Oryzias latipes: one gene and its partners. Each later gene encodes a partner of the first gene's protein in a complex. Links are inferred from orthologs where the notes say so. Each region holds a gene or a part of one and is shown in the gene's direction. Other genes may lie near its edges.

The links. Proteins that work in one complex are often made in the same cells at the same time.
Region 2: vti1b (region 1) and stx5 share a complex: the UniProt entries of both Homo sapiens proteins name them as parts of the SNARE complex. The link is inferred for Oryzias latipes from reciprocal best matches to the Homo sapiens genes VTI1B and STX5.
Region 3: vti1b (region 1) and bet1l share a complex: the UniProt entries of both Homo sapiens proteins name them as parts of the SNARE complex. The link is inferred for Oryzias latipes from reciprocal best matches to the Homo sapiens genes VTI1B and BET1L.

Annotation. Positions count from the first base shown.
Region 1 is NC_019880.2:1,874,051-1,882,124, forward strand, and holds vti1b (vesicle transport through interaction with t-SNAREs homolog 1B), read left to right. Parts: upstream 1-3,136; 5' UTR 3,137-3,344; coding exon 3,345-3,441; intron 3,442-4,366; exon of another isoform or gene 4,367-4,389; coding exon of another isoform or gene 4,390-4,429; coding exon 4,430-4,488; intron 4,489-5,246; coding exon 5,247-5,444; intron 5,445-5,518; coding exon 5,519-5,692; intron 5,693-6,274; coding exon 6,275-6,336; intron 6,337-6,862; coding exon 6,863-6,956; 3' UTR 6,957-7,611; downstream 7,612-8,074. Other genes in the region: retinol dehydrogenase 12, read right to left, coding at 1-110, 1,291-1,409, 1,883-2,097. UniProt on the Homo sapiens protein: V-SNARE that mediates vesicle transport pathways through interactions with t-SNAREs on the target membrane. These interactions are proposed to mediate aspects of the specificity of vesicle trafficking and to promote fusion of the lipid bilayers.
Region 2 is NC_019868.2:11,881,008-11,889,081, forward strand, and holds the start of stx5 (syntaxin-5), read left to right. Parts: upstream 1-4,094; 5' UTR 4,095-4,113; intron 4,114-8,074. UniProt on the Homo sapiens protein: Mediates endoplasmic reticulum to Golgi transport.
Region 3 is NC_019864.2:3,545,322-3,553,303, forward strand, and holds the start of bet1l (BET1-like protein), read left to right. Parts: upstream 1-3,449; 5' UTR 3,450-3,520; coding exon 3,521-3,539; intron 3,540-5,969; coding exon 5,970-6,055; intron 6,056-6,934; coding exon 6,935-6,991; intron 6,992-7,982. UniProt on the Homo sapiens protein: Vesicle SNARE required for targeting and fusion of retrograde transport vesicles with the Golgi complex. Required for the integrity of the Golgi complex.

The DNA of each region.
Region 1 (8,074 bases):
CAAGTCCAGCTCTCGAACCTCCACCTGAGCCTTGGGGCACTCGGCTCGTATACTGGCTGCCGCCTCTTCGCCCTTTTCTGTGTCTCGGCACGCCATGATGACCCGAGCTCCTGAGAGACCAGCAAAACCGACACGGTAAGGAGACAAAAACCCATTCTGTGTAGAGTTCCAGCTTTAGATGAACTGATTTGACTGCGATGTGGACTCAGGAATCCGTATGTGAGAATCTAAATGAACCACGAGCTTCTAAAACCTCTTTGCTAGAATCTAAAGTAGCTGCTGTTACAAATTGATTCTTTATTGAAGATTTTGTTCATGACCTGTTTCTTTCAAGTCCCACCAGAGAGTTTGAACACTCTGCTGTGCTTTGGGTCTTTGCTCAAGCTTTGACTTGAGGACTTGGGGAAAAAACCTGAGCTTTAATATGAGGAGTCAGAGAGAAGACCTAAGTCTAGACTCCAGGAGTCGGACAGAAGACATGAGCTTGGACTCGATGACTTGGGCAGAAATACCTTAGCTTTGAGTCAATTTATTGGAGGAAAGACCAGAGCTTTGACTCAAAGAGTTGCTGAAAGGACATGAGCTTTGATTTGAGGAATTGGGGAGAAGACCCAAGCTTTAACTCGAAGAGTCAGAGAAGACCTGAGCTTTGACTCGTGTGGTCGAAGAGAAGATCTGAGCTTTGACTCGTGTGGTCGAAGAGACGATCTGAGCTTTGACTCGTGTGGTCGAAGAGACGATCTGAGCTTTGACTTGGGGAGTCTTAGAGAAAACCCGAGTTTTAACTGAAGAAGTTGGGAAGAAGCCCTGAGCTTTGACTCGATGAATTGGGAAAAACCCAAGCTTTGACTTGAGGATCCGTTGGAGAACATAAGACCCGATGACGAACTCAGGAAATAAACCAGATTCTTGTCAAATTGAAAATGGATTTGCAATTTGTGAAATCATCACCCTTCCACCCATGACAGAGGCCCATGAGTCAACGGTAGCTACCCGAGGCCTGTAGAGGCTGATATTCCTTTGGTCTGGTCTTGAGGTGAACTGGCTGAGATGTTTGTCCCCCCCTCCCATAAAATGATGTAAAATCAAGAGTTTTGTCTGAAATGAGGTAATCTGGTTAAATTAAATGTACCACCAGTGTAGTGTCTGCCCTGAGACTGGGAGGTTGTGGGTCTGAATCCACGGTCTGGTCATAGACACTTTCTTTGGATTGTGAGGGGTGACATGTTGATGCAGTGAGACCACTAATAGGACTTGGACAGCACCCGGGTCTCCTCGGACCCTACTCACCTCTCAGGGCCAGGTCCAGCGCGGTCTCCTTCCCGATGCCGGTGTTGGCTCCGGTGATGAGTACCGTCTTCCCGTCCAGGCGGCTCGCGGTCCTGCACGCGGCTCCAGCTGCATATCTTCTGTTCAACAGAGACAGCTGTTTTAACCCAACCCGGAGCGGCACGGCACGGTTTCCGTCTGAACGAGTGATTTCTCTGAGCCACACGGGTTAATTATTCATGGACAAACTTGGCGGAACGGCGCGGATCGTCGGGTCGAGCGACCCACGCCACCGAACGGGCCCGCCCCGCACCCAATGGCCCCGCTCCGCTTACGCATATTAATTGGACTCCTCCCACGTGCGGGCACCTGATAGGCCCGAGCAGCTCAGACGGAAGGCGGCCGCCTCATCCCGGTGCTCAAACGTTTTTCTGATTCACTCAAAATTCCGTCACCGTTTAGCGGATTTGAGACAAAACTCACACCGAAATCAAAGCGGCTGACTCAAATAAACACCTCTGGGGTTAAAAAGCAAAGCCAGCCTCCGTGCTGATGACGTCACAGCAGTGCAGGTACCGCGATGGGGGGACAGCGGGTCCCCGCTGCAGCTCACCGTATGTGCGGAGCGAACAGCAGCAGCAGCAGCGTCACCACCCCGATCCCCGCGATGATCACCAAGACCCACATCTGAGCGCTTCCACGGGCCTCTGCCTCCGGCCGGACGTCAGGGATGTGTGGGCAGAGCGGGGCTGAGCAGCTGATGTCAGGGCTGGAGGGGCGCAGCGGCACCGAGAGCGCACGTGCAAAGGATTGTGGGATTGTAGTCATTGTTGTGTTTTGTAGTCCTTTACATTGGAGGTCAAATACAAAAAAAATGTTGTTTTTTAATTTCACGTAGCAGCAGGAAAGATTAGAATGAATGCCAAAAGATATATATACAAACTAAATGTGTTTAAAAAACAGTAAGAAAAATCGTAAAGGATGAGTGAGAAACGGTTCATTATAAAGGAATACAAAACTATAGTTTAATTTAAGAAATGTAATGCCAGAATTCGAAGTAAAACATGGAAAAATGTCAATTATTGTAGATTGAATTTTGTAAAAGAAATTGGAAAAAAAGACAAAAACATATAAACACAACAGCTAAATCTAAATCCTCCCACAGCCTTATATTTTGCAAAAAAAATTTAAATAAATGTATATACATTTATATGATTTATTATCATTTGAACAATTATTATTATTATCACTAGAATCAATTACCATTTAAGTTGCCGTTATCACTTCATAAAACTGAAAGCTGCCTCTGGTTATTTCTGTATAACATTTATTTAGAATATCTATTGCATTATTATACGTTGTCCTCGAACAAAATAAGATAAAACATTCAAATAATATTAACTTTTTAAAAACTAAAAATGCATTTTCAGCACAAAAACTCAATTTGTAGTGAAGGTTTTATTTTATTTTTACAAATATCCTTTTATTTATTAAAATAATAGTAAGTTGAGTAACACATATACCAGTAGGCCTATTTGAATCAGTTGCAAAAATTGAATTATAGAAATCGCATCTAATTTAATTTTAATTGTACACATAAATTTAAATCAAAACATTTTCTTTCTTGTAACTAAAGATTCAATTTAGAACTCTTCTGTTTAACGAAATCAATAAACTACACTTCCCAATTTCCCCTGGAGCCAATGTTAGGTGTCTATTTAACTGCCTGACTAGAAATCTTTACTCTTTTCCCTTTTAAAATTCCGATAAGCAATATTGTGTGATACAGTTCATAAAAAATAAATTTAAAATGGTATCTTTAACACTATTTTAATTTTTAAATGTGTAAAACACAACCGATTATTTCATTCTTTTACGGAATTTTAGTCCTTTTGGTCACGAGGACCATCATGCGGAAGAATCCCGGGTTCTGATGATGAAGGAAGCAAAACAAACAGATTATCTTAACCTTTCCACCTACAAAAAAACCTTTTAAGACTCTTGAATATATCTATATTCAGGAGGAGCAATAATAACTGTATTCAGGAGGAACTATCCGGGTTGATCCCTGAGAAATGTCGTCGGAGGAATTCGAGAAGTTGCAGGAAATCTACAGATCTTTGTACGAGGAGCTGAAGTTAATTCCTGACAGAGCCGCGAAATGTCACGGAGGTAAACGAGGATCATGTTCTTTGTTGCTCATTGTGTTCTTAAAATCTCACTAAAAAACAAAGTGAAAGAGGTTTCATTCAAGATCATTCATAGGTTTCATCCAACAAATCAGTTTATGCAAAGGCTAAAAACAGAAAAACTGTTCTTTCTGTTTTCATTTGAGGAAACGTTGTTGATGCATATTTTTTGGGACTTGCATGGAAAAAACATCTTATTTGGTTTCATTAATTATGATAATAAACATTCGTCTTAATTTGATTTAACGAATCTCCTGATTTTACTAAGTATTTTATTCACAAAACTAAATTTAGCAATAAAGCTCCCAATTGTTTTGATTGATCGACTTAAATTAGATTTTACTAACAATCCATTTCCCCCAATACAAACAAAGAAGCAATTCATACTTGTCATTTTGCTCAGGTTTGTCATTTCATATAACTTTATTTTTGTATATTTATCCCTCTGGTGTTTATAATTGATGTACAAGGTAATGGTCTTTATTATTTACTGTACGTCTCCTGGGTTATGAATGAATAAAACTAACAAAATCTCACTCTGATCATCTTTTGATCTATTTCCAAAGTCGTCTTAAATTATGATCATGTTTTTTTTTATTTAGCCAAGAAGCTGTGTCGTTTTCTAGGACAGCAGTTTGTTAGAAATTTGCGTCAGAGTTGTGGGCGGGACTGTCGGCAGGAGTAAGCCCACCCCCACTTCCCGTCACCCGTCTGTTTACACGCTCTCCTGCTTACAGCCTCTCACACCCTCAACCTGACGTTACAGGTGCAACACATCGCAAATATACGTTTTTCAAACTGCTTTTTTTTCCGTCCGCTCCCGATTCACAACGATTTGAATAAAGAATTACTCAGAAAGGCAGTTATAAGCTACATGTTATACATGTCCCCCATCGTTTTCATGGCAGTGGGTGTTTGAAAGGATGGATGGATGGAAGGAGCCTCTGTAACCTGTGTGCTCTGGTCTGCAGAGGAGAGGAAGAGGCTGGTGAGGAGCTTCGATGAGCGGCAGGGAGAGGCTGAGGAGGTGGTAAGCAGATGTCCTCCTTCCTGACGGCTCACATTCATGGAGTCATTTTGCGGTTAAACACAACAGATGGCACATTCATTATTAAATATTAATTTTTAAAAAAGGCTTTGAAAAAATCAAACTGGGGTTTTTGGTGCTACAGTCAAGAACCAGCGAAGACTTGAAGTCAAAGTTCAAATATTTGGTTGCGTTTCACACACAAAAATAAGAATATTTGATCAAATTTTGTTCATCTCTTCCTGTTGGAGGGAAAACGAGCTTCTAGTTTCACATGAAGTCATTGTGCGTTTATCAGCTGATTAACCTTTAATTTCTTTTTTTCATACTGTTTTTACATTTATTTGAAATGAACAGTGTGATTATGGTTACATGGTTTGCATGCAGCTTTAAGTTTAGTTTTCTATTTTAAATTTCTTTTTGTTCTTTTCATTCATTTGAAATAAAAGAAAAAAATGTTTTATTGTTTTTTCCCCTCTTTTTTATTTTTATTTTTTACAGCAAACAATACCAAAAAAAAGAAAAGCAAAGAACAACAAAACAAACAAATACCCTGCAGATTTTACAATTAAATGTTCAAGTAGAGGTTGACTTGTCTATAGAAATAATCCATTAATGGTTGCCATGTCTCAGGTGTAATTTCTTTTTTAACTGAAGAGTTAATAATTCCATTTTTCTTGAACCTTGTCGGCGTTTCTATAGTCGTTTCAGACGCTAAAATCCATCTTTTTGATCAAATGGACTTGGATTTTCTCTCACAGTTGCAGGGCATGGAGGACGAGCTCCGTGCGGCGCCGGCGTCCTACAGAAACGCCATGAGCACCAAGCTGCGTCTGTACCGCAGAGACATCGGCAAACTGCAGAGGGACATGAAAACCTTTGCTCCCGGCTTCGGCCCCGCCCCCCTGACGTCTCACGGCGACCGCCAGGGCCTCTATTCACCCGAGAACCAGCAGAGTGTGAGTGTGGACCTTCACGCCTCACAGGTGTTCTGGAAACCTCCTGACTTCCTGTTTGTCCCTGGGGGGTGCAGACACACCTGCAGTCGCAGAGGTCGCTGCTGCTTCAGGGGACGGACTACCTGAACAACGCCACGCAGAGCATCGAGCGCAGCCAGCGCATCGCCGTGGAGACGGAGCAGATCGGTACAGACATCATCGAAGAGCTGGGGGGGCAGAGGGAGCAGCTGGACCGAACCAGAGACAGAGTGAGGCCGCCGCCTCCTCCTCCTTTCCTCCTCCTCCTTTCCTCCTCCTCCTTTCCTTCTCCTCCTTTCCTTCTCCTCCTCCTCTTTGTCCTCCTGCTCCTTTCCTCCTCCTCCTTTCCTTCTCCTCCTCCTCTTTGTCCTCCTCTTCTTCCTCCTCCTCGTGTTCCTCCTCCTCCTTTCCTCCTCCTCCTCCTTTCCTCCTTCTCCTTCTCTTCCTCTTCCTCCTCCTCTTCCTCTTCCTCCTCCTCCTCCTCCTCCTCCTCCTCCTTTCCTCCTCCTCCTTTCCTTCTCCTCCTTTCCTTCTCCTCCTCCTCTTTGTCCTCCTCCTCCTCGTGTTCCTCCTCCTCCTTTCCTCCTCCTCCTCCTTTCCTCCTCCTCCTCCTTTCCTCCTTCTCCTCCTCCTTCTCTTCTTCCTCCTCCTCGTGTTCCTCCTCCTCCTTTCCTCCTCCTCCTCCTTTCCTCCTTCTCCTTCTCTTCCTCCTCCTCTTCCTCTTCCTCTTCCTCTTCCTCCTCCTCCTCCTCCTCCTCCTCCTCCTCCTTTCCTTCTCCCGCGTCACTCGTTTCGTTTCTTCCTCTGTTCAGTTGGTGAACACGGGAGAGAACCTGAGTCGAAGTAGGAAAGTTCTGCGGGCCATGTCTCGGCGGTAAGCTCACCCACCACTCGGGTTGATTCAAAGGGTCACGTGTCAGTCAAAAGGGCCACGCCCCCTTTGTGCCCAGCATTTATGTACAGTACTTTAAAAAAACATAAAAGCACATAAACATGAACACAGTCAAGAGTTGGAGAACAGGAAGAAGAACAGGCTTTGGATCCAGACTATAAAAAGTCTCCCTCAGACAGCCCTCAGGTGTGGAAGCACACCTGAACGTCTGAGAACGAGGGCGTGTTCACTCTCAGCGGAGCGAGGACAATCGTTTTATTGAAGCAGAGTATTATGGGTAAAGCAAGAACTGCTCATAACACAAGAAGGTCACGCGTGGTAGAGTGTCCGCCCCGGGAATGTCAACAGCTGTAGAAGTTTATGGGATTTTGGCGTCTTAGAGGCCGCGGGCACTTCCTGTTTGGAACGCCAGGGAGGAGGAGTCACTTAGACCAGTTCGCATATACAATAATCAAATAAACGCTTAAATCCACCGATGATGAGGAGGGTCTTCCTCTCTGTCCTGCAGGCTCATGACAAACAAGCTGCTCCTGGCTGTCATCATTCTAATGGAGCTCGCCATCCTGGGCGCCGTGATCTACCTGAAGTTCTTCCGGAAGTGAGGGAGCGTCTGGAGAGGAGGAGCTTCTGCCCTGTAGCAATAATCCTGTTGGTGTGAGCGAGTCCGCTCTGAGACCAGGCCCTTCCTGAAGACGTCTGACTAGAGAAGCACCTCCTTTGACCTCACAGAAGCTCCTCAGAGGGACGTTTGCTCTTGCCAGGGGTTTTCTGAAGGTCACGGGGTCAAAGGTTTCGAGGTCAAGAAATTTCTCTGTTTGGCTTTGAAGGCCTGAGATGAAGCCAGAACGCTCACAGTAGTAGAAATAACCCTGAGAAGTATTTCTGACCTCTTACACATGTGGCCAAATTTTCTTTTGCTCTAAATGTAAAACGAGGACCTAATCTATACGGTATGCCATTTCCTTTACCTACACATAAATAACACCACTTCCTGTTCAGTGCTTAGTTGGCTCCATTAAAGCTAACCTGCTACTCATCTGTTTGGTGTTATATCTAAAGAACGTTGCTGTGGAAAAACCAGAATATTCCTCCTCAAAAGATGTGGAAAAATCAACTGTTGCAGTTCCTCAATTGACCACTAGAGGCTGTTCCCCAAAGGAAGATATTTCCAATTTAGATGGCCTATATCCTGCTTTTCTGAAGCTTTTCTGTGTAAACTACATCCATGTGACAATAAATGACCTTTGGCACACTAAAGAACACGTATTTTAATGAAATATTCATTCTACCTGGAAATAAGACTCGATCTTGGAGGCTCCGCCTTTCGCTCCGTGTGGGTGGCGCTCAGGTTTTTAGAAGAATACTCAGAAATGCGTGAAAGGATCAAAATAACCGCTTTGGGGTTTTCTGTGAGGAAAAACATCGTAAAACACTTAAAAGTGGATTTTACAGGATAAAGGCCCTTTAAAAAGACTAACTTTACAACCATTATTTCTGCCTTTTATCATTAAGATGCACTGCAGGAGTTAGGAAATGAATGTAGAACACGTTATTTCTCGTCACTTTTGGCCTCTTGGAGCATCTCATTGAAAAACCAACATCTTGCTGTCAAAGCCCTGAATGAGCAGATTCCATCTCTTCTCTCCGTTTTTTATGTGTTCTTTTTCCAGCAGGCCCTTGTCCTCCTGACTGACGCTGGTCATTCCTTCCCGCTGTCGCC
Region 2 (8,074 bases), on another chromosome or scaffold:
GCCGGGCTGGTAAACGGGTCCCACCACCCTGTGGCGATTGGCGATGCGACAGTTGCTCTCCTTGGTGCGGAGGAGAGCCTCTGTGGTTTGGCGCCAGACCTGTTGGCAACGCTGGAGATGTTGCTGGACAGAGGGCACCGCCAAATCGAGTTCCTGGGACGGAAACAAAGGTGGTGAGTACCCGAGCGCGGCTTCGAATGGTGACACCCCAGTAGCGGAAGATGCGTGAGTATTGTGGGCATACTCAATCCATACTAAGTACTGGGACCAGTCCTCGTTGTTTTGTGCCGCCAGACAGCGCAAGGCTGCCTCCAGTTCCTGGTTGGCCCTCTCTGCTTGACCGTTGGACTGGGGATGATAGCCGGAGGTGAGGCTGACCGTGGCCCCCAGGGCGGAGCAAAAGGTTTTCCAGACTTGAGAGACAAACTGGGGACCACGGTCCGAGACAATGTCCAAGGGGATGCCATGGTGACGGAATACCCGGTCAACCAGGACCTGGGTGGTTTCTGTGGCGGAGGGTAACTGGGCTAGAGGAATGAAATGAACCATCTTAGAGAAACGGTCAATGATGGTGAGTATGACAGTGTTACCCTGAGATGGAGGCAACCCGGTGACAAAATCCAAGGCGATGTGCGACCAAGGACGACTGGGGGTGAGTAATGGTTGTAACAATCCGGCTGGGGCAGAGTTAGAGGACTTGGAGCGGGCACATGTGGTACACGCTGCCACATATTCACAGACGTCCTTATCCATTGAAGGCCAAAAGAACCTTCTACGGAGGAGATGGAGAGTGCGCTGGACGCCGCCATGGCAGGACAGCCGTGAGGTATGCCCCCAGGAGATGACATCTGCCCTGAGGGAGGTGGGTACATAAAGGGTTCCGTTAGGACAGGGGGCATGATTGGGTTCCTCACCTTGAGCTTGGAGCACCCGATTTTCGATATCCCAGGTGAGTGCGCCGATTATGCACGTGGAGGGGACTATGGTGGTGGTGATCGAGTTTTCCGTGGTACTGTACTTGCGGGACAATGCGTCTGGTTTGATGTTCCGGGTTCCAGGACGGTAGGTGATTGTGAAGCGGAACCTGTCAAAAAACAGACACCACCGGGCCTGACGAGAGTTGAGTCTCTTGGCGGTTCTAAGGTAAGCGAGGTTTTTATGGTCTGTCCAGACAATAAAGGGATGCTCAGCCCCCTCCAGCCAGTGCCGCCACTCCTCCAGGGCCAATTTTATTGCCAGCAGTTCACGATTCCCCACGTCGTAATTTTGTTCTGCAGCCGACAATTTCTTTGAAAAGAAAGCACAGGGTTTGAGCTTTCCAGACGTGAGTTCCTTCTGGGAAAGAACAGCGCCGACCCCGGAATCCGAGGCGTCGACCTCCACGATAAACTGGCGTGAGGGATCTGGCTGAATGAGAATGGGGGCTGTGACAAACAGTTTCTTGAGATGGTCAAAGGCCTGTTGGGCTTCTTGGGTCCATTGAAAGTTTTGATGGGTGGAAGTGAGGCGAGTGAGCGGGGCAGCAATGCTACTGTAGTTGCGGATAAAACGTCTATAGAAATTAGCAAAGCCCAGAAATTGTTGCAGTTTCTTCGGATTGGTAGGGGGTTCCCAGGCGGAAACAGCCTCGATCTTGGAGGGATCGGGTTTTATACGACCTGCCTCAATGATGTAACCTAAGAACTGAACAGACTTGACATGGAATTCGCATTTCTCTGCCTTAACATACAGCTGGTTCAATAAGAGACGGGTGAGGACTTGACGGACGTGTTGTTCATGCTGGGTAAGATTGTTTGAGTAAATGAGGATGTCATCAAGATATACAAAAACAAAGCGATTTAGAAAATCTCTAAGAACGTCGTTGACTAACCTCTGAAATACTGCTGGGGCATTAGTCAACCCAAAGGGCATAACTAGATATTCATAATGCCCCAGGGGGGTATTGAAGGCAGTCTTCCATTCATCCCCCTCTTTGACACGGACAAGGTGATAGGCATTACGGAGATCCAGTTTTGTGAAGACGTGGGCTTCCTGGACGGAGTCGAAAACAGAGGAGATTAAGGGCAGAGAATATTTGTCCTTTACTGTAATTTGATTGAGTTCCCGGTAATCTATGCAGGGGCTTTTCGACAAAAAAGAAACCTGCCCCAACAGGGGATGATGAGGGACGAATGTGACCCAGGGATAGCGCCTCCTGGATATAACTTTCCATGGAAAGTTTCTCAGGCCCAGAGAGGTTGAAAATGCGGCCCTTTGGTAAGGTAGCACCCGGTAGTAAATTGATTTTGCAATCGTAGGGGCGATGGGGAGGAAGGGCGCTTGCCTTAGATTTGCAAAAAACATCACGTAGGTCATGGTAACAGGAGGGGATCTTATCCAGATTAATGTTACTGGGAGAGTCAGTGGTGTGATGATGAGCCGAAGGTAAGGCGGACGAGAGACAATTAGCAGAACAATAGGGGCTCCAGTTAGTTATGTGTCCTAAACTCCAATTAAATTGTGGGTTATGCAACTTTAACCAGGAGTAGCCTAGTACTATGGGCGTATGAGTGGACTGGGTAATGAAAAATTGCATAACTTCCCTGTGGTTGCCAGAGGTGAGAAGTTGAACAGGTTTGGTTCTATGCGTAATTCTGGAGAGGTGCTGCCCTCCTAAGCCCGAGGCCTCTACAGGAGCTTCCAGAGGTTCTGTGGGAAGACCGAGTTTAGACACCAGACCATGATCAATTAGGCTCTGTTCGGCTCCAGAATCTATAAGTGCCCTGAAAGCATGAGTTTGGGTTTTACAGCATATTCTGACAGGAATGCACAGGAAGCTTTGATTTTCCTGAGTGCTGAGGTTGCCCCCCCGTGACCTGTCACTCAGCGGGGGGTTTTGGGAATTTAAACGCAGAGTGCACTGTGAAACTAAATGTCCATGGGCTCCACAATAAAAACATGAACCCTCCTCTTTTCGCCTCTGTCGTTCTTCTGCAGATAGTTTAGAATGATCTCTGTATAGGTCCCTCAGATGGTTTGGAGCTTGCGAGAAAATCCATTCTGAGGGGCGACTGGGCTGTGATGGTAGAAGGGGCCGGATCGCTGATGGTTTTCTTCGGGGTCTGTTGGCGATCATGACGTCGCTCGGTGAGTCGGATGTCCGAGCGGAGGGCTGCTGAAACGAGCTCTTCAAAGGAGTTAGTTTCAGGCTGAGTACAGAGATGGTCTTTAATTTCTTCATTCAAAGATTGATAAAAAATGCCCTTTAAAGCCAGATCTGGCCAGCCTGCTTCGACCGCCAGAATGCGGAGTCAATGACGTGCTCACTAACAGTCCGGTTGTGTTGTTTCAGGTTAAGTAATTTACGTGTGGCTTCTTCCCGTTTACGGGGTTGGTCAAAAATCAAACGGAATTCGTTTAGGAAGTGTTCATAGCGAAGGTGACTAATAGGGTTAGCAGAAACAAAGGCTTGAGCCCACCGAAGAGCTTTCTTCCGGAGAAAATTTATTATAAGGGTGATTTTACTGATATCAGAGTGATAATGCCTGGGAGCCTGCTGGAATATGAGTTGGCATTGAAGTAAGAACCCGCCACAGGCTTCTACGTTGCCTAGGAACGGTTCAGGCTGTAACCGGAAGTTTTCGGGTGAGTTGACAGGACCGGAAGCGGAAGCTGCATTGTTGCCGGAAGACGGAGTAGAAGCTCCTATAGCAGGGTTAGCATGTCGCTCGGTTAGCTCGGAAAGCGTTTGGTTCATACCTCTGATGCGAGAGATCGTGTCCTCTTGGACTGTAGTGACGCGGGTGACCGCACTGGAGAGGAGTTCCAGGAACCGACCTTGTTGGGAGACAATATTTTGTAAATCTTCCGGGCCAGCTGGGTCGGGGTTTTGGCTAGTTGTTCGTTCTGTCATGACTTGTCAAAGCTAGACAGACCCAGACGCTGAAACCCAGAAGGAAGACAGGAGGTGAGTGAAGGTAAATAATAGATTTAATTTTTCCAGCGGATGAATTTGTCCTGTTGTGGCGGGGAATGGCAGGAACGGCAACTCCAGATGAGAGGGTGGATCTTGACGTGGCTGGAGGTTCGGCTGAGGCCAGAGCTGAGGCCTGATGTATGGAGCGTTGAGAGGAGGTAGGTAACTCCGGGGATAACTCCGCTTGGGCTGAAGCTGAAGCTGGCGTCCACTCGTGGGATATGTAGGTCCTGGACATAGAAAGACTAGAGTTTAGACGAGGGTAAAGATACGTAACAGGAAAACTTGAAAGAGACCAGACAAGCACCATCAGGGGCAACGAACTAGCGTTGAATTCTGGTCCTGGCGCTCCTTAAGTAGGTCTGGCAGGTTGATGAGATGAGTGAACGCAGCTGGGACGAATCAGTGGCCAAGCAGAGAGGGGAGGGGGAAGATAGCTGACAGAGGCCCCATGACAAGGAGTTCACTAAAATTCACCTCTGAGCTTTTGGCAGGACTGTTGGCATGAAGTAAGCCTGCCCTGACATCATCCCTTTGTTTACACTCTCTCCCACTAGCCTACAGCCCCTCAGAACCCCAACCTAACATTACAGATGCAACAAAAATGGCGAGCAATATCGAAACTATCCTGCCGTACAGTTTTGAGCCAGATCTCAGCTCATACAAGGAAAATGAAGGCGGAAATAGATCTAGTCGTCTACAAGTGGATGCATCAGAATAGAGAGGAGCTCAGAGCTTGTGGCCTGCCAATTGTAGCACCTATGTCACTGCTTCAAGCTTTTTCCAACAGCATTTGTTTTATCTGCTCCTGATTCATAACGATTTGAATAAAGAAACACTCAGAAATGCAGTTTTGATCTTAATTTTCTTCATAGATGTCAAAAAAACGCCACAAGAACATGTTAAAAACACCCAAATCAGGATTTTTATTGGAGTGGGTCTTTAATGTGAAGCACAACTGACTACTATATAATTATTGGACGAATACTGATATAAAAGTTAGGCTCAATCATTTTTTCTGACATATTATTGACATATATACTATTTAATACCATAAAACAATCCAAAAAGCACACAAAGGGAGATTTTCTGAGTGGTTTAAAGAAAGGTGTGACATATGATGGAACGGATAAGGGAAGGTACGACGGTACAGGGTTCAGACGGGTGGAAGGCTGGGGATCTGGGGCTGGAGGCATACTTGTGGTCTGAGCATGCTTGGGCCTGTCAGAAAAAGGATGCAGGTACCAGCAGGAGGTTGAGAACATCAGAGAGCAGCAAGATCGTATCTTTCTCTTTCCATGCTGTACCTGAGTGTTGAATCACCTGAGGAAGCAGCCCATCCTGTCCTTGTCCAAATGTCTGTTCTGTCTTTTTGCTGGGAAAGATTCAAAATGGGTCTTTCAATTATAAAATTTCATGTCATTGGTACATGAGGTTTGCTTTTATATTTCTTATTTTTATTTCATTATCAGTGTTTTGCCAATTAGAAAGACATTTTGTTTGAAAGGGCATAAGAACAAAAACATGAAGTCATATTTACAACTTTTTGTAAATGCATCCTTGACATACTTATTGGAACTTCATTTAATATGTAAAACTTATACACACATTCTACTGCCAGGATGCATCTCAGAAATTGCTGAGATTACTAAAATTACCAAATATAGCCAATTAGTCTCTAAATCCACTTATTCCTGTTCAATGCCATCGTCTACCCAACCACTGAGGAGGGAAGGTAGAGTACATCCTGGACAGTTTTCCAGTCCATAGCAGGGCAACACGGAGACAAACAACTACAAACGTTCACACCCAAGGGACTATTAATAACCACCAATTGACCTACGAAGCATGACTTTAAACTGTGGGAAGAAATCAGAAGAAACCTACGCATAAACGAGGAGAACATGCACACTCCACACAAAAAGGTGCAGCAGGGTTTTGACCCAGAGCCTTCTCCCTGTGAGATGAGAATGGCAACAACTACGCCAGCACCACCAACGTATTAGTAATAAATATGACACCTATTTTTTTATAAACGTCTTAGAAAAAATACAAAAACAAAGCTTGTGTTTAGGCCCCACTACTTATTGGACCGTTACAAAGAAATGGATAAACATAACGTTTGAAACGTGTCCCTTAACTCAATGCTTTCTTAACTCGAAATAAGTAAAGTGAACTGGGTCCCTATTATTTTTTATTGTTTTATTTATATGTTTTATTGTTTATTTTAATGCTATTTTAAAGGCCTAAAAAGTATATAGAAATCACAAACATGTCATAACATGTATTTGAGAACACGTGTTGAACTTCAAGTCATGTCTGAAGAATACCAAGGAGAGGACCAAAATAATTTTGATCCATTAAGATAATGAATGTTTTTATAACTTGGTTCTTTGTGTTGTTTACATTTTCTGCACTTTTAAAGTCCCACTCCAATCATCTTTTGATCTATTGTAAAAGGGTTCCCAGTGGTATTTTAATTATGATTATGCCGTTTTTAGCCCCCAAAAAAACCAACGTTGTTTTCTGGAACATGGTTTCTGCAGAGCCAGATGTCAGCTCAGTTGAGGAAGCCAAAGACGCACTTGTATATAGTTATCTGCAAGTGGACGCATCAGAATGGACCAGAGCTGGAAGCTTGTGGCCTGCTGATTGTAGCACAACTACAAGCTTTTTCCAGTGGTATGTTTTCATCACCTCCTGGTTCACATTTGAATTAAGAAGTACTCAAAAATGCGATTTTAAGCAGAATTTTCTTTTGATATGTTCTTCAGCATTAGAAAAATGCCACAAAAACATGACTTAGGCCTTATACAACACATGTAAAGCAAGGCAATTTCATTTGCATATCGTTTTATGCAAACAAGGGAAATTAAAAATGCTTTGCAGAAATAAAATTGTTTTAGCTACATACAGCAAAGTAAAAAAAAAAAAACTATGTTTAAACTGGAACTTCAATCAAGAAACAGTTGGTTAACATCTGAGTTCACCAGGAGGTTGGTTCTAGGGATGGGTACCGTGCCCCGGTACTGAACCAGCCCCGGGGCCACATTGTTCAAGACCGCAGTATCGTTAAGATCTGACCTGAACGGTTCTGCTATCGGTACTGGAGAAGTTACTTTTTCTTTTCTTTTTTGTGTCCCACAAGTGTTATCTGCCATATTTAACTCACCAAGTCAGTCAATTTTCCGTTAATTAATTATGATATTAATTTTGGTATTCTCGTTGAAGCGGGGGCGGGGCTGTTTTTCAGACAGCACGCGCCGCGCGCGCACACACACACACAAGACAAGGCAGCGCACACACAGTCAGTGGCGATCTCGTAGGGGACACGTGAGCGCCCTAGACTAAGAACACCCGTTTCTGCGTAAAATTAATGAAGTTTGCATCAAGGAGCCCCTACCATGCTGTCACCTTGCTGCTACGATGACCGTATGTTGCGCTGTCTGTGTAGAACACGCTGGGGCGGCGTGATCTACACAAAACAAACAGGTAGAGAGGCGGGGCTTAAATTCACCGCTTATGATTCCAGACCCGTGACAAACTATCAGCTGCTTCCTAAAACTTATTTTTTTTCAACTTTATTGAACATAGTATTAACATGCAAAATACTTCCTAATACTTAATAATAATTAATGACTAATGATAGTTGTCATCCGTAAAATTAATATAAATTATTGGGTTTACTGGATTTAAACAAAAATAAATAAATAGAAAGGAGTCTGTATCAAAGTGAATTTGTTTCCATCATCTCACTCAATCCTAACTCTGGTGTTTGACAGACAGAAAAGTCTATTCAAGGTTGTGGAAAATGGACAAAAGATCAAAGGAAACATCACGCTCATAAAGAATAAAAATAATTAGATTAAATAATTAAATAAATATCCTGTCTGGAACATTCTCATGTATAAAGTAAAATCTTTTGTAAAAAAAAAACAGTGTTGTTGCATAATGAGGAAATAAAACACTTTATGTTCTTAATTTGTTATTTATTTATTTTTCGTCCTCAAAAAGTATCGATAAGTGTACCGTTAAAATACCGGATCGATAAGCAGTATCGATAAGAGTAGTAGTACCGTTAAAACCTTAACCATACCCATCCCTAGTTGGTTCCATCAG
Region 3 (7,982 bases), on another chromosome or scaffold:
AAATATATTAACACTGTTTTGTCTTTTATAAGAATCCAAAAGCAAAGACAAGCTGATATTTATTGACATGCTTCCCACACAAACTAAACCTACAAAACTCAGAAAAACTCAGGATTTTTGCAAAATGGTTTCTATTATTCCTTTTTTTTTGACTGTAGTCAAATCACTAATTATTCTGGTAAAAACAGACTGATTTCCAATTTGAAAAAAGAGGTTTTACTTACAGAAACTTCCCCCATTGCCTTCTGTTAGTAACAGCAGGTATTAGTGGCAGTGCAATTACTCTGAGCAGCGTCACAATCCAAGCTCCAGGACCGGTCCATAACCAGCCACAACTCTTCAGGGCACTTTCTCAGAAACCACAGTTTCCTCAGCAAACCCTAAATTCACAAATTCACTGGAGCTTCGCTGTCTGACGGGCATAGGCAGCCCTCTCTGTGGTGAAGAAGAAGAAGAAAAAAAAAAAGACAACGAAAAAACAGAGCCGGCTAAATGATTATCTGAGGAAAGCCTCGCCTAATCTAATTAGACAATCTGTGGCTTCAGTGAGCAACAGGGAGACGGTTTCTGCTGCTCCTGCAGCTCCTCCTGCTGAGAAACACTCACACGTCTCCTACTGAGACACACACATAGGTGGAACGGGAATACTCACACAACACCCAACAGCAGCAACTGAAGCTCCTGTGGTCAGGATGAGCAGACCTGAGAGGAAGACGCAATAAAGACAGGTGCTGCATCTTTACGCCACCTCAAATATTCTGCCTCATCCCAGCAGCATCACATACAAATCAAGCTTTACTTACAAAACTCTGAAAACACCCTTGCATCAGGGCTGCCTTTACGGCAAAGTTGTTTTCTTTTGTTGTGCGTGCACACATAGCTGACACAACCCACAAAACACACAAACACGTGACGCACACAAACACAAGCGCAGGTAGGTGGATTACAGCACACAGGAGGATTACTGAACATGCACACACACAGGACTGTTACTCTTTAACATTCAGGACCAGAGTGTGTTTGCACAAAAGAAGACTAACTCTGACCTTTCTGCACACTTTTTAAAGGTGAGCGCTATAAATATGATGTTCTGAACACACCAAAAGCAGGAAGAGTCGCTGTGTCAAAGCCTGCTGCCAAAGGGATTAAACCTGGGTGTGGGACAGATGCCCAGTAGTTTGTGTTACCCACCTGGGTTTGCCTCACACAACATCATCATTTGAATTTGAGTAATTTGCTCTTCTTGGCACTATGCATGCTGCTGCGCATCAAAGCTTGTGTCTCCCACTGGAAAAATATAAAATTAGGTCTTAAGGTATGCCAGCTCAGGCCCCTGCTGTTCTGGTTGTACATCACTGACCTCCCACATCATCCTTACATTGTGACGTATGCCGATGATGCTGTGCAGTTAACACAGGGCAGAGATGATTAGACCAAAGCTACAAACCTCACAGTTCCTCTTAAGACAAACTGCAAAGCTAGTTAAAAACAGACCTGTCTAACGCTTAGTCCGAAAAACACAAGTAATCTGGCCGATGAGGGCGCAGGCGTAACCTGCCTCCACCCTCACACCCCCTACTACCCCCTTTTTACCTGCCCTCACTGGCCTAGGAGATGCTTTGAGCCCTTCACATTCCTCTGCCAGACTGGTCAACATGTGACAAATTCATGAGAAAAACATTTTTTTTCCAAACAGAAGGGTTTACTGTAGTCTCCATAAGAACCATTGTAGTTTTTGTTTGTCTGAGAGTGAAGAACAGATCTACATCACTTTATAAAAATCTGCAATGGTAAACTTTTTCCTTGGCAACTGAGGTTTTTTTGTTAACCACGCCAATTCCTAATATGTTCATATCACATATCAGTTTGTTCAGCTTGAGCCAACATTCATGTATCACTTTTATTTTTTTAATTTTCCAGGAAAAAAAACATGCTACGAATGAAGGAATGCCACTTTTGCTTGTTTAAGTATCTCAGATTTTTGCTCTATTTCAACCTCACATTCAGACATTATCGATCACCCGGACACCAACTCCCTGGCAAGGCAGCAGGGGCAGACGTGACCCCCCAGACACCCACACAGAGAAGCAGATCGAAGGGGTCTGCCCCCCTAGACAAACGGCACCAGCCACCCAGTCCAGAGGTAGCACAAGGTCCAGCGCAAGGTCACACCCACCTGAGAGTTCCCACAGCCGCAGATCAGGCGTCCACCAACACCCAGGCGTCTGCATCCCCCAAGAAACACTCATGTCACAGCCTAGCCAACTACCTCCCTGCCCTGTGGGGAGTCCAGCACAGATCCAGGCAGGAAGAGGGCTCCAGCGAGAGACAAGGATCCCTGCGAAAAATGGTTAGCATGGACCGACCAGGCTCTCTGGTGTTGATGATGATGAGGAGTTACATAGCAAGAATGCACGGACCAGAACCAGAACCAGGGACACAAACACCACCAGGCTCAGATGATGCTAGAAATCTCAAGGATCCCCCTCCCTATATGTGGAGAGAGGATTGCCGGGTCAATGAAGCCAATACCCAAAGAACACAACCAGCACGGCTGAGCCGCTGACACATGATTTCTGTGAGGACTCTCATTCATACAGGAGAGTTCCAGAGCAGAACAGTTTCCAGAAAACAAGGGTCATCCAGACCCAAGACATTTTGTCAATACTGTAAACACAACAACACAAAACACTTCAATTAGGAAAAAGCACAAGCTTGATTAAAAAGGTGTGAACGAGGTATTTCTGCTCATTGTTTTTCAAAAGTGTGATTTGTAAACAAAAATGTTATTCAAGAACTGAAGAATGCAGTCAATTTAAAACGAAACATAGCAAATTAAATTAAAAAAAGAACAGATTTAATCAATAGAAACAAGGGCCTTAGCTTAAGCGTAAACAGTTCAAGAGTGATGTGTTTAGAAATCTTTTTTTTAATCAAATACTTCTTTTTTAAAATAACTATTCCTTCCTTGTGACCTAGATTTGACTAAAATTCACTTTAGAGTCTATAGTTTTAATTTGTTACCTTCTCGCAATAGAAAATAAAATAGTTATTTACCAGAGCAAACTCTTCGCAAAAAGTAGTGTATTTAAGTGTACTACAAGTATACTTAGTCTACACTAAAAGGTAGGCAGTATACTTTAAACTTTTATATCCATGCATTGTAGACTTAAAATGTTCACATTTCTTCAGAAGGACTCAGTTAGTATACTTCTTACACTACATGTACATGGTCTACAGTACACTTGCAATACTCATACTCAAGTAACAAAAACTTCAAGTAATTTTTACTAAAGGAACTTTGAATTGTTCTATAGAGCGTAAGAAAGAAACAAAAAATGAATCTTAAGAAATTATATAAATTGTGTTTTTCATCCCGATGAAAGCAGAGAACATTAATAAATTATGCGGTTCTGGATTAAACTTTCATTTCAACCTGTTCCGTTTCCTTCAGGATCAGAACTGATAACGTGTCGTAGTCACGTGTTCCGGGCAGCTGACTGTGACGTCACAAAGCAAGATGGCGAGCTGGGACAGAGGTAGGAAACCGAACACGTATTCACTTTTTAATATTTGTTCATCTTCGGTGTTTTAATCAGGATAAGACGAGTCCCGTAGATCGGAGGGAGTATTTAAAGCGAAATAAAGTCGGATTAGATTACGACCGGAAATGTGGAGCGTCTGACTCTGAGCTAACAGTAGTTTAGTTAGCTGTTGACAAGTCAGTGTAGCTATCATGAAGTGAACTAACTTTGAGCTGTCAACAAATTCGTTTATTTACATAAAACCACCTTAAGTTCTGAGGGATTTTTTTTCAAATAAATGTTCAAGTTTCACTCTATTTTTTCATCTTTTGGTTCCTATTTAGATAAACAAATTTCCTTTTTTTCGGAATCCGTGTAATTAGTAATACTATGGTCGGAAATGACATTACAATCTCTCATGTCCGTCGGTAACTTTGGTTTAACCTGAAATTCTGTGGTTCTGGTTCTCATTCGAGTTTCTGCTCAGTATTTAAAGACCCACTCCCATGAAAATTGTGTTTTTAACTTGTTCTTGTGCCATTGTTTCTCATTATGGAGAAAAGTAAGTAAGCTTAAAATTGCATTTCTGAGTTTCTTTATTCAAACTATTGTTAATCTGGAACAGACGGAAAATTGCAGTTTGAAAAAACTTGTAGTTGTGACGTAGGAGCTACAATCGGCGAGCCACAAGCTTCCTGCTCCGCTCCATTCTGATTCATCCCCTGTCAGTCAAATGGATCCATCTTCTGTCTTTGTTTTCCTTCTCTGAGCTGGACTCTGGATCTAAGCTGTAGGTGGTGTAGGTACCATAACCGCTACCACACTAGTCCCTGGAATCCACAGATGCATATGGGCCAGTTTGGAGAGCAGAGGGAACACATGCTGTTGAGATTTCCACCACAGCAGTGGATCTTCAGTGAGAGGCAGAGAAGAGGCGTCTTGATATTGTTTGACCTCTTTTTCTGCGAGGCTGCTGCTGTAGAGGCATAAGAGGTCTTCTTGAAGGTTTGACCCAGAAGATCTACTCGTGCAGACTTTCTTTTCTTGGTGGTGCTGGTGTCGCTGCTGGAATGTGGCGGCTCCTCATCCTCCAAATCCTCCTGTAGGTCATCACAAGACACTGGATCCCCTTCCTTTAAAGCTGCTTTTGACTTCAGTTTTGCAGACGTGTCTTGCAGAAACAAAAGAGATTTAAATCTAGGGTCTAGGGCTGAGGACATGCGTAGGAGATCTTTTTCCACCTCAGACTGATATCTCTTTGAAAGGTCTTGATCTCTCGAACCAGAGGAGAATCTTCTTCAGTGCTAGTTGAGTTGTACAGCAGTTTGGCATGAAGAGGAGCAATCATTGAAATGGTTGGATTCTTTTCCACAAGCATTGGTTTAAGTGCTTTAACCATCTCTTCAGCGCTTGAAATGTCATCCTCTGTCAATGCACAGTCTGTCACATTCTTTCTAACCTTGAGAAAAGAAAAAGAAATTCAAATTTTAGTGCTCTCAAGAAATGTATATTTTATCATTTATATTTAACCAATTATGCTTTCTAACTATAATCTTAATGTGTATTAGCAATATATATACATGCCAAGTAAATTTTTTAAGTGTAATGTAATTTACCGTATCCTCAGTCGAAAGGCCCCCGAACGGTTATTGCAGGCGAACGGTTACGGTACCTACACCAGATAGCTCTGATATTGCTCACCATTTTTGTTGCACTGCTAATATTAGTTTGGGGTTCTGAGCGGCTGTACGCTAGCAGTAGAGAATGTAATCACAGGGATCATAGGAAATGAGGACGGGCTTTCTCTGCACCAACAGTTCTGCCCACAACTCAGAGGTGAAGTTCTGATGAACTCCTACCGCTCTGCAGGAACTATGTCCTAGAAAACAACACAGTTATTTAGATTTGGGCTAAAAACATCATCATCATCATCATAAATAAAAAGACCATTTCTGGCTGCTGGTACCATTACAGAGAGTAAAAAGGTCCTCGGAAGTGACTCCTCCCTGAAAGTACACAGGCTCCTCGGCAGTACTGCAGGTACAGTCAGTACAGTCAGTACAGCCTTTCTGCAGGCACACTTCAGTCCAGTTTTTATGAAGGTGTTAGTTATATTCCCCCCTAAATATTCCTGGCTTGGGTGTTCAGTGATGATGGAGCAGCAGGCCGATATCTCATGAGTGAACTATCACCTTTTCTTTGGTTTCCTCCAGGTCATGGTACTTCCTACAGTCTCATCAGTAAATCTGTGATCAAAGATCTTAACATAGCATTCAAAAGTGCAGCTAGAATGAAAGCAAAACTTGAGGTCTGTTTTAAACCCATTCACGTGTAGCTTCTTTTAAATTGGGCTTTATTGACAAAAGTTTTTAATGTGTATGTCTGATTAAATGTAAAACCTTTGGCTAAAACAAATCACTTTTAATTCATCTTGTATGTTTTCAGATCATGACTCAGTGGATGACATGCTGGATGCTAAAAACAAACGTTTGGCTGAGAACCTGGCCACCAAAGTCTCCAGACTGAAATCTGTGAGTCAAACTAGAACATTTCTGCAGATTCCTGAAGATGATGTACTTTTATTTCTCTATTTGTAGCTTGAATGGAAGCAGAGAGACGAATACGTTTATACATTTATGCTTCTGTCAGACCTTACAGGATTTCGCAATGTTGCCATTGCACCAATTCACGGCAGTTTAACCAAATCCCACAACATTTTCTCGTGTTGAATTTCATCCAATTGCCCCAACTTTTTTGCGGCATTCTCATTTTGGAAAAAGTTGGACAGGTCACGCTTCTCAAACAATCAGTTTTAGAGGCTTAATCGTATATTTAATCAGTCAGACGTGTCCATTCTTTGTTCCGCCATGGCTGATAACGTCTCTGTCACATCTGTAGCTTCCTGCAGGTTCTGTTGTCAGGCTATGTCAAAAGTGCATAACTTAATGAAGCTTATGAATGTGTGAGTGTGGAACATCTAAATGGCAGGTGCAGACTTTATGCTTTAATGACTACAGTCAATGTTTCAAAGACTACCACTAGGTTATAGGGCGCAGTTTCAGTTATGGGGGATTTTTCCTGTATTTGACACACAAAAGGCGCTCCGGGGGTTAGGGCGTGGGCACGTTAAAACACCGGTACAACATGCTTGCTAGTGTGTGTTTTAAAAAAAAGGCAGCGGGAGCAAAACTGAGTTGGTTGTGATTTATTTTTTGTTTTTTCAGTCATCAATCAGCATCCAAAAATCCATCAAAGTCCTTTTCTTCTGTCCCGGGTTAAATAAAAAAAATGAATACAACCGCTGCATAGGGCCCCACGTTATTGTTCACCTGGGGCCTCCAAACTGCTAAGTCTGCCACATATCTGTCATCTTATGACTGCAGTTATATTTTCTCCTGCATGTCTGACAGCTGGCGTATGACATCGACAGAGAGGTTGATGATCAGAACGACTACCTGGACGGCATGGTAAGTAATCGGGAAATCCTCTTTTTAAATCTCATCCATCTGTACAAAGATGTTAGGTGGAGTTTTTTTTTTAGCTGTTTTTATCTGAAAACTGTTTTTTTCTTAAAATGATCGAAGCTGTTTCAAAACAGACAATTGTTGCTATACATCCCAGTTTTTATTTAGAATTTGCAGTTTACTTGGTTTATTACAAGTGTTGTGTTCTAAAAATAACCCGGGATAGGTCACATCTGCAAAGTAGGAATACAGATGTTTTAAGGCTGTAAAACTCCTCACTACACACTTTCTACACTCTTTTCAGAGAGACATGAACATTTTCACACTTTTCTCTTTTGTTTAAACTTTTAAAGTTCAAACCTTCCGAGAAAAATAATCCAGGATTATAGAAGGAAAACAAAGATCTGATTGTGATCAAAGATTTATCTTGATTTGGCAAACATAATACATTCTGAACAGGAGACACGCTACAAATGAGATACATTGACTAGATCTACAGCCAATCAGGACACAGAACACTGAAATAAAAAAAACAAAATAAAAACCATGTGAAATTGCATTAAGAAAATCAACGAGACGGTGAAACTGCGATATAGCAAGGGAAGACTGCGAGGAACAATGTTGAAGGCTGGAATGTCGTCACATTATCCAACATGGAGACACTTTCTGATACCAAAATGTTGGATTAAGACCCAATCACAGTTTTGGGCGTAAAATGCTTAGAAATAGAGCTAAATGTTTTTCTTGTTATTTTTATGAGCTACTCCTCTGTGACTCTAAGGGGCGATGAAATCAAATCACTTGTACCTTTTTTGTTTTTTTGAGTGATTTATCAAACAAAGGACTATAATCCAGGAAAGGGACTGCGTTTGTGTTCCCAGGGTTCTGCATAAACAGTTGTCTTGCTGTCACAGACGTAAGTGGAAGTGTTACTGGCTTCTTCACAGATGAGTGTGGAAAACCTGCTGTCTATGTGGTTCTCGCAATCCACCTG